2 linked regions of the Schizosaccharomyces pombe genome follow. The protein of the gene in region 2 purifies or fractionates together with the protein of the main gene of each other region. This does not show direct contact. Each region holds a gene or a part of one and is shown on either strand. Other genes may lie near its edges.

What was found. Proteins that work in one complex are often made in the same cells at the same time.
Region 1: the proteins of prp17 (region 2) and cwf10 purify together in Schizosaccharomyces pombe (affinity purification with mass spectrometry; 3 studies listed by BioGRID, with this or other methods). This does not show direct contact.

The regions. Positions count from the first base shown.
Region 1 is NC_003423.3:4,050,985-4,056,479, reverse strand, and holds cwf10 (GTPase Cwf10), read right to left. Parts: upstream 3,925-5,495; 5' UTR 3,880-3,924; coding exon 3,854-3,879; exon of another isoform or gene 3,810-3,853; coding exon 3,450-3,809; intron 3,412-3,449; coding exon 3,060-3,411; exon of another isoform or gene 3,001-3,059; coding exon 784-3,000; 3' UTR 501-783; downstream 1-500. Other genes in the region: protein Mtl3, read right to left, coding at 1-312; SPOM_SPBC215.11C (aldo/keto reductase family protein), read left to right, coding at 5,098-5,495. UniProt on the Schizosaccharomyces pombe protein: Component of the U5 snRNP complex required for pre-mRNA splicing. Binds GTP.
Region 2 is NC_003423.3:2,650,052-2,655,684, reverse strand, and holds the start of prp17 (Prp19 complex WD repeat protein Prp17), read right to left. Parts: upstream 4,092-5,633; 5' UTR 4,040-4,091; coding exon 3,929-4,039; exon of another isoform or gene 3,888-3,928; coding exon 3,123-3,887; exon of another isoform or gene 3,084-3,122; coding exon 2,468-3,083; exon of another isoform or gene 2,425-2,467; coding exon 2,377-2,424; exon of another isoform or gene 2,338-2,376; coding exon 2,201-2,337; 3' UTR 2,141-2,200; coding exon of another isoform or gene 1-2,140. Other genes in the region: 1-phosphatidylinositol-3-phosphate 5-kinase Fab1, read left to right, coding at 1-2,140; Mre11 complex BRCT domain subunit Nbs1, read left to right, coding at 4,771-4,807, 4,867-4,920, 4,959-5,047, 5,152-5,300, 5,340-5,419, 5,462-5,633.

The DNA of each region.
Region 1 (5,495 bases), 1.4 Mb from region 2:
GCTGACCGGAGACGAGTAAGAATTAGTTTCTGAGGGAGTAGCAGATTCAGAAAAGATACTGGGTTCACTAGAGCTAGTGGGTGTCGCATACCCGTAGTAAGTAGGAGTTCCTCCAGTTTCAGCGGCACGACCATAATATCGGATTTCCTGACGCCTTTGTAGTTCCTCTTGAGAATCTCTGCCCTCAAGTTGATTTAAAGATATTTTTGTGAAGCTGGAATTACCATATATTTGATGCACCAAGAAGGCTTGCGTAAAAATGTTCGATATGCAAAATACGCAAATGAGAGAAAACAAAAGTCTCAAACCCATCTTCAGTTTTAAGGATAATAATAAACTAATCTAACTAAACTCGCTGTATTTTACTTCCAAAAGCAGAGCACTTCCGGAAGTTGTATATGTCCCTAAAGTCTTCCGGTATACTGAGAGGGTAACTTCATGACATATGACCTCGGGTGTTTATAGTACTATGAAATTACGTTATTTCAGTTGAGTGTTAGTTTCTTAACATAAAAAAATAAATAATAGAAGTTATTTATCTATATACTAAAATCGTAAAACCAAAATGCGACTTTTCCTTCTGATCAAGGATTTCACAAATAATTTACGGCTTCAAGATATGCGCTGATTTTTCGGATTTCATACACTGTAAACGCGAGATTTGAAAGCAAAAAAAAGTTGTTAGACTTCTCGAACTTTCATAAATAATCGTATACTTTATTATTAAAATCTACCCAATTTATTTTTTTTTGCAAAATCCATTATAAAGACTTAAAACCGACATTACAAAGAGAGTACGACACCTGCTTCTTTCAAAGAATCAATCATTTCTTGATCGAAATAGCGAGTTGTAGAAACATCTTCCACCAGACCTTTTCTACGTCTTGTCTTAATCAGAAAGTCTCTCGCCAAATCAGAGCCACGTGCGGGTTCTAATGGCTTGGGCTTGATAGACTTATCCAGTGGATCACCAGGTACTACCTGCCAATGATCAAATACCATTTGACACATAGCTTGACCCTGAGTATGCACTCGTAAATCTGTTTCAAATCCACAAGAATCAATGACTGGAATAAGTGCTCTCACCAAATATAATGGGGAACCTGGCCGAGGGATATCTTGGAGGACATGACCACGACGACGCGTTAATAAATCATAAATAATAGGAAGACTGTCAGCGGGGGCATGTACTTCAACCATATACACTGGTTCCATTAGCCGTGGAGACGCTGTTAAAAAAGAAGAATAACACACTCTCCTTGCGGTTGGAATAATTTGACCACCTCCTCGATAAATTTGTTCAGGTGCAAGCACTACATCCATCAGGCGAAAATTCACGTTTCGGATTGTCTCATCACATAGAGGACCTTCCCTAGTCCCCCATTGAAAACCTTGTTTAATGTATTCTTTTACGCTATTAAGCACGTTTTTATCAACATCTGTACTAAGAGTATCATCCCGCAATATATTCGTACCACGATCATCGGGACCAAAAGCCCAGATGGAACGTGAAGCTAGTAAGTCCCAATCGTAGTTCTTTTGGAAAAATTCGCTGATTCTTTTTTGAGGCCAATTGATATTAACTTTTCCATTTTCAATGTCATTAGAAATTCCTTTCTCCAATGGCTCAACTACCATTGTGATACGATTTTTTTTATTTGGAGTATCTGAAAAACACTTGATACTTGATGTGTCCACCGCAGTCTCACAGAAACGAGCAACTGGATCGGAAACTCTGATTTCGATTTCAGAGTATAAAGTCCGAAGATCATAAAGTAGACAATCCATATACATCTCACCAGTACCGAAAATAGTATGTTCCCCAGATTCTTCTACTTTTGTGATAGATAGTGGGTAGCTTTTGTTTGTTTTTCGTAGGCCATCAAGTAGTTTTGGTAATTCTGATGGATTGTGTGGCTCTACAGCCACCTTGAAAACACTCTCGGACATGTGAGCAATTGGCCTGAAAATGTAAGGATCATCTTTCAAATTGTCCGAAACGATGGTTGCTGTTTTGCTAATAGAGTTATCAACACCTCCTAAAAGAACTAGCATGCCGGCAACAGCTCCATCAACGTGAAGACGATATCGTGCGCAAGGTACACATATTTCAGCAATATGAGCAACCACCATATCCTCTTCGTCTTCTAAAGAATAATTTTCTCCAAGAACTTTAACTTTCTGACCCTTTTTAACCTGACCACTATATACACGAGCAAATGCATAAAAATTATTAGCATCGACGGTGTTGTAAAGTTTAGTAACATGCATGACTAATGGTGCTGATTCCTCACGACTCATTTCTAAGATAGCCTTGCCGATACTAGAGTTTATAGGCCCAATATATGATTGAGAGGCTTTACGAGCGGCATTTTCTCGAGGCGATGGAATATGTCTAGTAACTGCATTCACAAAACCAACGGGGAATCCAAAAAACGATGCGCAAATTAGTTGCAAGAGTGGTTTAGGATCTAATAAATAATCCTTGGGTTTTAAATAAATTTGGAAAGAAGATAAGTGTTTTTTGAGTTTTTCGGCTTCGTCAGAAATAGTAAGGGTATGTAATTTATACAACGGTTCTAATATGAAATGGACAAAGCTTCTAACGCCAGAGCCATCCAAGGACTGTTTGGCAAATTTTCTGGTTTTCGAATCGAAATAAATATCCCCCCACAATCTTTTAGAAAATAAGTCCACGTCGATACCTCCATGTCTATCTATATAGAGTTTTGCGAAACTAGACAATGTAAAACAATATCCAAGATCACATGAAGCAAAACAAACGTTCCCTAACTCAGGAGAAACGCGATATTTCAAATCTTTACTAATCTGGCAAATGTTATCGTTTACTTCGTCGATAACGTGTCGAAGTTTATGGTAAGCATCATTCGGAGGGAGACGTAGCTCAAGGATTAACCTATCAACTTTGTTCAAGACGAGCACAATTGGCATATCGTGAAGAATCGCATGTTTGATAATTCTAGTGGTGTTAATCATCACCTAAAGCATGTTAGAATCTTTATATCTTCAAAACGCAAGAAAAGGCCAGAATAACTTACACCTTCAATAACATCAACGACTAATACAACACCATCACTTATGGCCATAGGAGCAGCGACTTCATCAACAAAATCGACATGACCAGGCGTATCGATGCACTGAAATGCAAACGTCTTACCCTTCATATCAGAAACTGCGAGCGTAAGTGGAGTACTTTTTATAGACATCACACGTTCTCTTTCAAGATAATGAGTGTCGGTATATCGAAGTGAACGCCTTTTTGGCGGCTTGGTGTCAGGATGGGTATAATAAACGAGTAAATCTAATAAAGCGCTTTTGCCGTGATGCAGATGGCCAGCAACAATAAAAGATCTAACGTCATCTGTCCCAGTTAAGAGACCGAAGAGGAACCTTAAAAAGTTAGAAAAGACATTGTTACACATACTTACTCTTTCTTGTATACAGTATCTGGGACGTTTGTTGTTTCTATAGCAATCCTTTTGTGACGAATTGGCTCAATAATGGGCTGGCTTAAGGGTTGAGTATCCTGTTCCTGAACCATGATATCCACGTTGGACCCATATACCTCTTCAGCGCTAGGATAATATTGTTTATCCTCGTGAAGAACAACGGCATTCTGAGGCTCTAGATGACTCAACGCCATTTCCTCGGCCCTTTCAACGTCTTCTAATTCTTCATCAGGAATGACCTCTTCAAAGGATGGTACCTGTGCAATTGTAGGGCTAGGAGCCTGAGGAAACAGCTCCTCTTCATCTTCTTCATTTTCAGGGCCTATGTAATTTCCAAACCTGGCGAGTTAGAAATAACTATAAAATGTTTTTAGACCACTTACTCATCATATAAATCCTCTTCCATCATCAGTTACTGCCAAGTACCCACAATGCACAACTTTTGGTAATTACCAAATTTGAAGTAAAGTGTAACCAAGTTTTCGAGCTTTAGCGCATTCATGTCTCAACTGCGATTTATATCTCGTTAAGCTTTGATAATGAGCTAGAGAAATCATTGTCTTTATACTCTCTAAACGAGATATGATCGGCTCAGTAACTTCCACTACACTCTTTAAGGTTGCCGAAGAACGACATCGTCTCATTTTGATAGAAAGGAATGAATCGTAATTATTGAAAACCAAATATACTTTTTTATTTACCAACTTCCTCCTTAAAAGTCGTACATGGGTGTAATTGAGACCTTAAAAGACTGGTTATGTCTACGATTTGAGCTACCGACCCATGTTTAGCAGCCAAATTTATAAGCTTTTCGAAGACAATAGTAAGAGTAAATAGCCATTGTAAAAGTGCGGTGCAAACATTTTTAGAGCGCAAGTTTTGCAACTGTACAAAGTATTTAGTGTGTTTATAAAACACACAACAAATTGCTGAATGTCAATAACACTAATAATATACTGGCATCATCAACTAAATTCAAAAAATGTGTTTCCTTTCAAATACAGTCCTAGAATTGTTATTATGTGCAATGTTTACCTCGATTTACGGAACTGGTCAACCCATTTGTGGTCTCCAAATGATAACTCGTAGTACGATTTGATAGCACGATCAAGCATAATTCAAGAAGATGGAAAATATAAATCCACATTATCTTGAATAGAAAGAAACATAGCAATAAAGATCATTATCGTTATGTGCGACCATCGTTGCTCATGAATAAAAATGGGCTGGCAAAAGAAGACAGAGATACAGTTTAGACAATTCATCCAGCATCAGATTTTGGAACCATAAAATTATCATTAAATTGAATAAGAGCCAAATCAAAAAGGACTTAGCTATTTACTCTAATTCAAAATCCAACCAGCAATATCGTACTATAATAGTATTAGTCATCGTTATGACAATATATTGTCTAACGCGCTCTTACATCATACCACTGGATTCTGTAAATAGGGTATGTAATAAATCAGTTTTCGTGGTTTAAGATAGTCCGCATCAATCCAGCTTATGTAAGGAATACACCATGTAAAATTACTATAAAAGGAAACGGCGTCTGACATCCCACACTTACCGGATCCACTATAGTACTTGATCTTGATTTCTAAGAAAAGCGACAAAAGACACAAAAATGAGTAAAACTGCAGCTTCTTCCGCCGTAGATGCTTCACAAGCTGGGACTGTCAAGGTTGGCGACATGGTTGTCAATAGAATGGGATTCGGAGCAATGAGAGTTACCGGTGATGGTATATGGGATGAACCCAAAGACAAAGAGGCTTGCATCGCAACTTTAAAACGTTTGCCTGAACTCAATATTAACTTTATTGATACCGCCGATTCTTACGGCCCTGAGGTCAGCGAGAATCTTTTACGAGAAGCTTTATACCCTTACAAAGGACTTATAATTGCTACCAAGGGTGGCCTTGTTCGTACAGGTCCAAATGAATGGCATCCTTGTGGAGCACCCAAATTTTTACGTCAAGAAGTACTTATGAGCATGCGTCGACTTGGAGTTAAGCAAATTGACCT
Region 2 (5,633 bases):
AATAGCAGCCGCTCAAATTAAGAAAGTGTTTCTGGAACGTCCATTAAGCCAAACCCCTTTAGATTTGCCAGAGACACTTGAGAATACTCAAATTGATATATATCCCTCCTTTAAAACTGAATCCACTGATGATCAACTCGAGAAAGTTACCCAAACTAATGTTGCTTCAAACAAGCGTGTTGCTCCGTATGCAGATAGTATGGCAAATGTTGGTTCTCCAGAATCTGATTGCTTTTCAGTAGCAACATCTTCCGATATTCCTAAAGCCAACATCGATTTTACCAATGATATTTCTACTCAGAACACTTTTCCAGCTTCTCCGGTCTCAAATTCAGGTTTCAGTAGACAAACGTATCCAAATATAAGCCAAAGACAAGGCGTTAATATGCTTTCTCATAAGCGGAAAAGTGCTAGTACCAGTGACAGGCGATTTGTCAATGCATCTTCAACAAGTGGGATGAACATGCCTATTTCTTCTTCAATATCTGCAAAAATTTCCAGTATACAGAATTCTACAAAATACTCACCCAGGAAGCCCATTCCAGCAAAAGATGTGCGGGTTAGCTCTTTAGTGCGTAGATTTGAAGAGCTAAGTTTACAATTACAAGAAAAGCAAAAACGAGATGAAGAATTAATAAAGGCTCGACGCAAGCGGGCTCTTCCTGTAGTCCCATCTAAGCCGGTAGTAGAAGTATTTAATGACCTTAATGAAGCATTTGATGATGAAAATTCCGAAGATGAGAATGGCATTAATGACACAAAAGAAAATCGCGCTACCGAAAGCAATTTTTCTGGAGTTGATTCTATGAGCAAGGAGCGAGAAAATGTTTCTTCGAATGAAGACAATTCACCTGAAGCGTTTGAAGATATTTTTGGAATTCTTTTCAAAAATGAATCTGGCCTCGAAGAACAGCAAAACCTTGAACCTTCTAGTCAAATGGATAAAGAGGGATCAAAGTTGCCAACTTCTGGTCCTTTGGCTGACAAAACTTCAGTTTACAGGATTTTATCTGCATTTTGGAATGAATGGAACTCCCTCAATCCTCCACCTTTTGAATTTCCTCTACAACCTACAGAGCATATGTTTTCCGACTCAAATGTGATCATAAGGGAAGACGAACCTAGCTCCTTGATAAGTTTTACTCTTAGCTCTCCTGACTATTTATCAAAAATGGTAGAAATTGAAGATAGCATGGACGAAGCTTTAACCAATCAAGGCTTACAAGGCTCGACGCAATTCAAAATTGAAAACTTAATGCTCAAACCAACGGGGACGCATTTGAAATACCAGTTTGAAGAAGGATCAGCAAGACTATCCTGTAAGGTCTTTTTCGCGGAACAATTTAGTGCTTTGCGAAGAGCTTGTGGCTGTGAGGAGACGTTTGTGACATCTCTAGCGAGATGTTCTCTTTGGGAATCTAGCGGTGGAAAATCTGGATCAGCATTTTTAAAAACTTTCGATAAGAAATACATTCTCAAAGTTCTGTCAAGGTTGGAAAGTGACTCCTTGCTTAATTTTGCTCCAGCTTATTTTGATTACATATCTAAAGTTTTCTTTCACGAGTTGCCAACTGCATTGACTAAAATCTTTGGATTTTACCGCGTAGACATTCGAAATCCTACTACTGGTACAATCTGTAAGACTGATATAATGATTATGGAAAATGTATTTTATGATGAATGTCCGTCTAGAATATTTGATCTTAAAGGTTCCATGAGGAATCGACATGTAGAATCTACAGGGAAGGTAGATGAAGTATTGCTTGATGAAAATTTGGTTGAACTTATTTACGAATCTCCAATATTTGTTAGTGAACAACTAAAAAGTCTTTTGCATTCTTGCCTTTGGAATGATACATTGTTCCTCTCAAAACTCAATATCATGGATTACTCTTTAATTGTTGGTATTGATTATACAAAAAAAGAACTTTATGTTGGAATAATTGATTTCATACGAACATACACTTGGGACAAAAAACTTGAAAGTTGGGTAAAGGAGAAAGGCTTAGTTGGTAGAGGTCCTGAACCAACAATTGTTACTCCAAAGCAATACAAAAATAGATTCCGAAAGGCTATGGATTGCTATATTTTAGCATCTCAGGATTTTGAGACTGGGGAAGGTTTTAAGTTTTGCGAATAGAAGAAACGTTAGTTTAATGTATATATTTCGCTGTTTGGTCAAGAAATATGAACAATCTTTTTAATCCCAGTATTTGATAGACCCATCAACTATAGATGATGTAGCTACCTTGCTTGTTTCTTGAGGGTGGAACGCCATGCTTTGTACGGGTCCACTATGAGCCGGGAGTTTAGCCATTAGCTTACAGGTTTTCCAATCTAAAAATGTTAGGTGTTTTTCCAATTCCAAGCACTTACCCCAGAAACAGGCATTTCCGCTCGAATCTCCGCTAAAAACAAATCTCCCTAAAACTAGTTAGAAATTCGTAATAAAAAATGAACGCCATACCATCAGGTGAAAATCCAACTTCTAGGCTATAACCTGAACAACTGTATCCCTTAAAGACCTTCTTTTTGTTTTGTCTATATTTCTCGTATGCCGAATATACGTAAATGCAGTTATCTAGAGATTGACATGCTATCGACTTTCCATTTGGCCGTAAGGCAACCCGAGGCATTGAATGCATTGCAATGTCAGCCACAAATTTTATAGGAACTGGAGTTCCGTATTCCCAAAATCGCATTGAAGAGTCATCAGATGTGGTAACGAAGCGCTTTCCGTTTTCAAGGAATGTTATGGAATTGATTCCGCCGAGATGATGATCGTATGCTTGAACAATATCAGGACTTCTGATATCAAATTGAAGGATCCTTTTGTCAGCTGTTCCTGCTAAAAACTCGTTGGGTTTATCAGGATCTACTTGGAATTTGACGCAGTTTGTTAATCTATCTGAATTAAAGCAGTTCAAACATTTCCCTAATTCGGTATCCCAGAGTTTAATTGTTTTATCAAAACTAGTACTTAAGAATGATCGTCCATCTTGGCTAAATGATAAATCGCGGATAGGACGAGCGTGTCCTTGGAATGTACGAAGCAAAGAACGGTCATGGTAAACTTCCCAAATCTAAATATTAGTTTATCATCTTTTTGCTTACAAACATACCTTTATCTGATTATCCATTGAGCCAGAAAGAAGTAAATGGCCACTAATCGGAAAAAACCTAAGGCAGGAAATACCTTTCGTATGACCTTTCCAAGTGAATATATGCTTCTTTGGAATGTAACAAGTTTGTTCACCAGGCTCTTCCGATAAATTTATTCCGACGTCATTCGGGACATGCATATAGCTTCTATTTTGATAATCAAATAATCTATCTTTATGAAGTATAGTCTCTTCTTTAGAGCGATGAGTTTCAACTTCTGGAGTAGCTAATTGTTCCTTCAATAATTCATTTTGACCCAGGTTATTAGATTCCGTATCCTTTTCACTTTTGACATCCAGGGATTCAACCTCTTCATATTCACTGTACTCCAAAGGTGAAGAGGATTGTTCAGAACCGTATCCGGCCCATGGCCCCTTATAAGCACCATCCCCTTCAAGGATAGATGGATCGCCAGGATCCTCTCTACGTTCTTTTATTTTCTGGGACTTCCTTTTTAAATCTGTAGAAGTAGTAGCTTCGTTATCATCAAAATTTCGTTTTCCATAAATAGCATGTGTATTAGCATAATATTCTTGATTAAATACAAAATTTGGAACATATTCCCTCTCAGCATAACCGGTAATACTGTTCTTTATAGAATCCTGTTCTTTAGTGACAAATGGATTTGCAGGCCCTAAAGCAGGCTGCACCATTTCATTAACCGGGACATTACGCGCTAATTCTCTAGAGTTTCCTCCCTTTGAAACAATTAAATCATCCTTTACCTAAAATGATTAGCATGTTATAAAAAACATTTGATAAATACGTTATCAACCACAGCTGGCGCTAAATTTTCAGTATGCAGAAGAGGTTGGATGTTAGGCGATTGGGAATTCTCCTGTTCTTCTGAATCACTAGAATAGTTTGCAACCAACATAGAAATTGCAAACGGCGAATATGAAACCAGCAAATTCGTATGGTAATGGTTTAAGGAAGATTAAGCTGTAGGGAGGTTTAGCGAGGATGAGAGATTCCTGGCTAATATCAATTAGCGAAAATGAAACACTACAGCTAACTCATACTTCTGCTTATTAGGATAGGTAATAGATAATTCATTGATTAAAAAATAAAGGAATGTAGTAAAAACTAGAAATAAAGTTAGTTATTTAAAGAGGCATGGACTTTTTTAAACTGTAAAAGAAGTTATCCAGTAGTGCATATACACGACGTATGATAAATAGTATTTAATTGAAGTTTGTTTGCTCACATAAGCTCATGACTTTAAAAATTTCATTTTGGTACGATAGTTTACCCCTTTAGTAAATTCATTTTCTAGTGTACTCACAGTATTTTTTGTGTTTGCAAGGCTAGGACAGAGAACCTGTGTAAGTCTAATTTTTTGAAATTATAAATTTTTTAAGAGTTTTTGTTGATTAAACTTTTTCTTGAAGAAAGCTTTGAAAAGCAAGCTTTGTCAATTCAAATTCAAGAATTGGTTTAGTAGATTTAGCTTCTAATTTAACGAAGGGCTTTTGGACATCATAAAGGGTTACTTTGTTACTTTCAATTGTACTAAAATTAAAAGCGACGCACCTATGCATCCTCAGTTGTGAAAACAGCATTCTGGTTTCTGAATTTTTTCAATAAAAAGAATTTTATGTTGAAAAAATGTGGATAATTGAGGCTGAGGGTGACATTCTAAAAGGTATCTCTTACTAGCTATATCAATTTCATTATGGCCGTATTGTACGTACTAAACAGCAGGAAAATCACGGATACTATTTCCAGGAACTTATATTGTAGGTCGAAATGTATCTGGTAAGTTTCTTATTTTTGTTAATTTTCTAATATTGCAGACGATTCGTCCCACATTCAAGTGATTTCTAAATCAATTAGTAAACGCCATGCTCGTTTTACGATTTTGACCCCAAGTGAGAAAGACTACGTACGTATCCAATTAAATGGAAATATTGAGCTTTTCATTTTTCATTTCTATTATATGTTTATCTTTCTTATATTTTAAATCAATGCCAGCTAATATGTGCACAGTTTACCGGTGGCCCATGCGAGTTTGAAGTAAAGGACCTCGATACGAAGTTTGGAACCAAGGTTAATGAAAAAGTTGTTGGTCAAAATGGTGATTCTTACAAAGAAAAAGATCTTAAAATACAACTGGGTAAATGTCCATTCACGATAAAGTAAGTTTTATCGACTATATATGATTTACTAACTTTAAGTGCATACTGGAGAAGTATGTGTATACAATTCGATAACCCTGAAATGTTATCCCAGTGGGCTTCAAATTTAAACCTCTTAGGTACTTCGGTCTTTTTTTTTTTCACTTCTTATCAACTTTCAGGTATACCGACTGGACTACGCGATAGCGATGCTACTACCCACTTTGTTATGAACAGACAAGCTGGGTCCAGTATAACTGTTGGAACTATGTATGCTTTTCTTAAAAAAACTGTAATTATAGATGATAGCTATCTTCAGTACCTATCAACTGTTAAAGAATCCGTAATTGAAGA